Linked DNA regions of Xenopus tropicalis. The protein of the gene in region 1 purifies or fractionates together with the protein of each later gene. This does not show direct contact. Links are inferred from orthologs where the notes say so. Each region holds a gene or a part of one and is shown in the gene's direction. Other genes may lie near its edges.

Region 1 (2,627 bases):
TCCCTTAACTTACAGCTTTTTCCCTTCCTTTAACCATTCTAGGCTGATGATTTGCTTTGCTCAACAGACCGGACCTTACAGCTTCTAATAGAACACAATCCCCCACCTAACTTACCAGTGGATAATGCTCCCCCGAAATCTCCCTCTTTTCGTTCCATAGAGGCAAGGGGTAGCACCGAAGGCCCAATGAAACGCAGCTCCATCCGGTCAGACTCTGCCTGCCTCTCAGTGCTATCCTGTACTCTACAGCTCCTCCCTAATGTTACTTTTGTAGCCTGCTGTTTTCAGTACTGTAGATAACTTTTCTGCTGGTCCCTCTTTCTCTTATTCACTATTATGCAACAAAACATTTAGCGCACTTGTAGTTCTCTATGTGCTACTTGATTGTTTCTCTAGCTGTTTGTAATTACACCTATTGGGGATGGTTGATTATCTGAGCGGCTTATTTTAGCTGACTTTAAATAGTTTTTTAAAAAAAAATAAAATAAATATCCTTAGTGATGGCTATATATATATATCATTTATGAGAAGTCTGTTAATCAGGTTAGAATGATGGGATCTGGCCATCCGAGATAATATGACTTAATTATACTTGTAGTAATCTTCTGCCACGAACAGCTGGTTTCAGGGCATCCCCTTCCTCCCCTCACTTTTAACAGCAGTCTGCAATAATATCCACTTAATTTCAATTCTTTATCTCCTTATTTGGTGTGTACAGGCGGAGTAATAGCAACACCCGTTCCCCAGGAACCTGCTGTCCCAAAGATCCTCGCTCTGTGTCACGTTCCGAGTCTCTGCGATGTGGAGTAGGTGGCGCTCAACAGATCTTTCGCCCATGTGAACTGCTGCATGGAGAGGAACTGGGGAAGGGCTTCTTTGGACGTGCTATTAAGGTATACACCATTCACTATGCTACAAGACAGTATTTAATATATGAGTCTCCTTTATTTAATACATTTTTTTTTAATTAAGTTGAACTTTTCTTTGTGGTTATAGGTGACACACAGAGCAACTGGGAGGGTAATGGTCATGAAAGAATTAATACAATTTGATGAACAGACACAGAAAAATTTCTTAACCGAGGTAGGTAAATACTGTTTTTTACAGTGGACATAAAATTAGAGGGAAAAATACAACATAATACAGCATTATGTATTCAGTCCTTTGACTCATTTTCTCTTACTGAATAACATCCCAGTCAGTGATAACTTATTCTGAATGTCTAAAACTTTTTTTATGTGACATAGGGGGTAGGATTGTGTTGTGAAACTGCTTTTGACACTGGGGGTGCCACATGTTATTATAAGTGCTGACCTAAGACCCCATTATGGTGCGTCTGTTTGCTGAAAATTGCACTAATCCAGGGTATTTTTGTAGGAGCACCACATCAAAATCTTCCACTTCTTTTTTCTCTGTGGCCTGGGGCAGGTGCAGGTGTAGTAGAGTGAATAGCCGCCTGTTTGCTTTTAGGTTCAGATTCTCACTTTTTTTACTGCTCACCCCAACCACACAGTAGAGAGAGTTTAGAAAAAAGAAGATGCTAGTCTGGAACTCTTCAATAGTACCCTGTGCCAGTGCAGTTTTTAGCAAACATGAGCACTGGATCAGGGTATCAGGTAAGCAGTTATAATCACTGGAGGATGCCCAACATTAATTTATTCAGATTTTTGGAAAAACTTTGCATGTTAGTTTTTTATATGGGTTAAAGTTATTTGTTGTATTTCAGGTAAAGGTCATGCGTTCTCTGGATCACCCCAATGTGCTGCGATTTATTGGGGTTCTCTACAAGGATGGTAGATTAAACCTATTGACTGAGTTCATTGAGTGTGGAACGCTGAAGGATTACCTGCGAGCGGTAAGGACATTGGATCAGTTCATGTTAATGTAAAGGCCACATGTATGGACAAGTGTTATAACAACAGTTATAGTGCATGTGTATTGAAACACTTTGGGGCATATTTATCAAAGGGTTAATCAAGAGCTTGCCACAGTCCACCAAGGGAAAGTTCACCACTTATCTATTCATTTCTATGGGCTTTTTAAGGCTTATTTAGAAATGAATGAACTCTCACTTTCACCCATTGATAAATATGCCCTAATAGTTCATAAATTCTTCCCTAACCTCTGCTTTCTGTTACAGGATTACTGTCCCTGGCAACAGAAAGTCTCATTTGCTAAGGATATTGCATGTGGAATGGTAAGGCCTTGTCACTGAATTTATTCTACCAAAATAATAATAAGAGTAAGGTATCCTAAAGTAACAATGATCTCTTCCCTCAAGGCATATCTCCATTCTATGAGCATCATCCACAGAGACCTAAACTCACACAACTGCCTCATTAAACTGGTAATAAAATAAAATCACTGTCCATTGTCTCTTTGCTATTTAAATTAAAGAAACTTTATTATACACTACAATATGTTTTCCTCTATCCATTTTCAGTTAGAAGGGTTCTTAACTTATGGGTCTTTGTGATGTTTATAGTGGCTCGTCACAATCCCATTTAAATTCAGAGCATATGAACAGCTACACTGATTTTAGAACAGGTATAGGATCTGGAAGAAGTACAGGAAGAGGCCATCTTCCATAGAATCCATTTTAAGTATTTTTAAGCATTTTTATTATT
Region 2 (3,835 bases), on another chromosome or scaffold:
TTTGTTCAGTATCTCTCCAGTCTGTAATTTCAGCAGCTATCTGGTGCTAGGGTCTTGTTTACCTTAGCAACCAGAGAGACTGGAATATAAATAGGAGAGGGAGTGGATAGAAAGATAAGTAATTAAAAAGTAACAATAAAATTGTAGCCTTTCAGAGCAATAATTTTTGACTGCCTTGGTCAGTAACTCCAATTTGAAAGCTGGAATTATGTAGCAGAGGAAGGCAAACAATTAAAAAAAACTATTAAAAAAAAAAAAAAATGATGACTTATTGCAAAGTTGCTAGGAAAGGAATATTCTATAACATTCGTAAAGTTAATTTAAATGCAAACCACCTCTATAAAGACCTGATACCTGCATAAGAATTGAGCTGCATATAGGTAATTATACTCTCTGCTTTGTGTCCCAGAATACCCTGCTGCTGAAACTGTATACACTCAAGCACTTCAGACGTGTCCGGCATTTTATTCCCAGGATCTCGCCATCCTTTTCTCGAACAGGGCTGCTGCTAGAATGAGACAGGTAGATGTATGAGGGCATTTTTTAATTATCGCATACACTAAAAGACCTATACATTAAATAATAGCAATGATTTTACACCATTTGTGTACTCGAAGCTGGTTTATTTTCCCTAGTGGGGAATCTATTTCACACCAGGAACCAATGGCAACAAGTTAGGCCACACTAAACTAAGTGAAATTTATTATCTTCATTTCACCACTGACTGTTTACTAGAACTCATTTCTTTAATGCAGTGGTACATTTCCCTCAGGGATAAATGCCTGGAAAAAAATACTGGGCAAGTATAGACCTTTCCCAGGATCAAATGCTGAAAAAAATCTTTGAAAACTATAGTCATTCTTTAGGGAAAAACTGGAAAGAGCGCTATATAGAATGCTTTGGTGATCCCTTTGGAGCTAAAGATCAAAACCTGGTTTTACTTTGCTTTAGTGTGACAACATATGCATATTATCTAAAATATTTACTGTCTAATGTTTAATATGCCCTTTTTCTAATGACATTGATATGTTTCTCTCTTACAGAACATGAATGATCTTGCATTAGAAGACTGCTCAAAAGGTACAGGTTTCCTTTAGTGTCTGCCAGGTTTTGAAATAAACTCAAAGAATATGTAAACTTTTTGTTTCTGGTTTCCCAGTTGCAAAGCATTTCCTGCAGAAGGAACCTGAAAAAGTGAAAAAAGTGAATCGCTGGTGAGAAGGCATTTTAGGATTAGTCGCCTGCTGCAGCCAGGATTAACCGCAGGCGACTAATCTCCCCATGGGCCATGGTCCTCAATAGTGCCCAGAAAAACATTACCTGCATTAAAGTCATTTCTAAATCGCAAACTGAAAACTTCAGTTAGTTTCTGCTACTACCTAGTCTAGTGTAGATCCCTGCCCCCTTTTCTGAGCTCTTTTTCTCTGTTTGAGTATGAAGATAGTTATAGAGGTGCCTGCTGCACATGCCTGATTGATTTGAATTCCATTGGAGCAGGAGGCAGTAAAGAAAAGGAGGTTTAGCTTCACACTAGACAACAAAGTAGCTGAAATGAGCTGCAGTTTTTAGCTTATGATTTAGAAACAAACGTGATTATGAATTCAGGGAGAAAGTTATGTTATTCCAGGAGCTATTTAGAGTCTCTTTGTGGATTTTAAAATAAAAAGGTAACGTATCCTTTAAGAAAAAGCGTGGCTGACTGTTTCATTATTCCAAAAGAAAATATTAATATGTAAAATTTAACTTCCACACTTTTTTTTTTTCAGTATTGTTTCTTAATTGTATGAAGGTGTCACTAATTATGTGCATAAGGTTGAAAATTAACTACAGGACAATCAAAGTTTACCATCCAAATCAAATTTGGCCTTATCTGGAGCTTTGGCCTAAGGTGGAGCTGAGAATTTAGTCACTGCAAGTCAGAGGCAGACTATCATGGCTCCCCCACCAAATCTGCTGAATGTTGAAGCAATATATGTATATTTCTTTTTGGCACTTGAGACTGAATGAACTCATCTCAAAGAAGGGGGTGGGAGGTGTTCTTTGCCTTTAATAGAAATGAACTAACTGAACTGAGGTAACCTTAGGCCCTGCCTTTTCCTGTATAATTTCAGCAATAGAGCTTAATCCTGACTACATCCGTGCATTGCTGAGAAGAGCAGAGTTGTACGAGAAGACTGATAAATTAGATGAAGCTCTGGCAGACTATAAATCTGTTCTGGAAAAGGATCCATCTGCTAATCCAGCCAGAGAAGCCTGTATGGTAAGTTGGCTGCAGGCTTTGTGCTCAGGTTGCTAGGGTCTTGTTTACCTTAGCAACCAGGCAGTGGCTTGAATAAGAGACTGGAATAAAAATAGGAGAGTGTATAAATGAAGGATATGGATTAAAAAGTAACAATAGTAAAATTGTCTCGGAGCAATAGTGTTTTGGCTGCTGGAGTCAGTGACCCCAGTTTGAAATCTGAAAAGATGTAGAAGTGGAAGGCAAATAAGGCAAAACCTACAAAGTATAATGAAGATCTATTGCAAACTTGCTAGGGAATGGGGCATTCTATAACATAAGGTGAACCGCCCCTTTAAGGTTTCTTGGTATTTTAACCCTTTCACTGCCAGCTGTTTTGGACAAAACAATATATCGTTTTTTCAGGACAACCTAAGCTTTTAAAATATGGTAGAATTTTTGTGTAATTCCAATTTTGTAACAAGATATAGGCTTCTAAATGTCTAAAAAAATGAAAAAAAATATTTTCCATAATATAAACACATATACCAGAAACAAAAATTATTTTATGCATGAAAATACACCTGATTTGGAAAGTCCCATGTCTCCTGAACGTGCCAATACCAAATATATATAGTTTTATGGAGATTTCTCACTTGTATAGGTCAAAAACCTCCAGCAGTACACTACCAGATTTCCAAAGCACTGCTCCAGAAAGCTGCATACTTAAGATTTTAAGGCCAAAAATTCCGCTAACAAAGTTCATCCCAGAACAGATTCTGGGGAATCCAGAATAGGCACAGCTGTCTGTCTACTCCAAACTATCAAGTTGCAATGCTTTCCTAAATTTATTGGTTTTTATCAAAATTTGTGAAATTTTTTAAAAATCGCTTCAAAGCTTCCAGTCTATAGTATCTTATCTCCTAAAGGTCATAAAGTAACCAAATAAAACACCCTAAATATGAACGCCAGGGGTCCACTGAACAGTTTGATACACAATATGTATAGGTTTACCTAAGTATGTGGCATGTAGGGGCCCCAATGTGAACATACCCCCATATGATCTATCATTTCTGTCATTTCAGCTTCTGCAAAATCAACACATTTACATAATTATATGTGGGATAATGCTAGTAAAAAGTACATTCACCCCAGAAAGTCATATATTTTTGGAAAGTACACATTCCCCCGAATCTAAAATGGGTACCCATGTCTTTCTACTCCAAAGTACCAAGCAGCAAAGCTTTCCTAAAGTTGGCAATTTTGATAACATTTCCAAAAATCCACTCAAAGCTTCCAGTTTCCAGCATCTTATCTCCCACATAGCATTAAGTACCAAGATAAAACACCCTAAAAATGAACACCAGGGGTCCACTGAACAGTTTGATGCCCACTGTACATAGGTTTATCAAAGCACATGGCACTTAGAGACCCCCAAATATACCTTGTGCACACTAATTTTATGGCTTACCTTTACCTAATTTATAAACACATGGAAGTTTTATGAGGGGTAGAAGCTGCAGAAATGTAGGGTGACCCCTAAAAACTCTATATTTTTGGAAAGTACACATTCTGAAAAATCTAACATGGGTAAAGAGTCCTTTCTACACCAAAGTA

The links.
Region 2: the proteins of limk2 (region 1) and ttc1 purify together in Homo sapiens (affinity purification with mass spectrometry; 3 studies listed by BioGRID and IntAct, counting the BioPlex papers as one, with this or other methods). This does not show direct contact. The link is inferred for Xenopus tropicalis from reciprocal best matches to the Homo sapiens genes LIMK2 and TTC1.

What each region holds. Positions count from the first base shown.
Region 1 is NC_030677.2:152,025,456-152,028,082, forward strand, and holds part of limk2 (LIM domain kinase 2), read left to right. Parts: intron 1-42; coding exon 43-206; intron 207-718; coding exon 719-893; intron 894-996; coding exon 997-1,083; intron 1,084-1,726; coding exon 1,727-1,855; intron 1,856-2,140; coding exon 2,141-2,197; intron 2,198-2,281; coding exon 2,282-2,347; intron 2,348-2,627. UniProt on the Homo sapiens protein: Serine/threonine-protein kinase that plays an essential role in the regulation of actin filament dynamics. Acts downstream of several Rho family GTPase signal transduction pathways.
Region 2 is NC_030679.2:16,155,453-16,159,287, reverse strand, and holds part of ttc1 (tetratricopeptide repeat protein 1), read left to right. Parts: intron 1-409; coding exon 410-522; intron 523-1,043; coding exon 1,044-1,080; intron 1,081-2,111; coding exon 2,112-2,260; intron 2,261-3,835.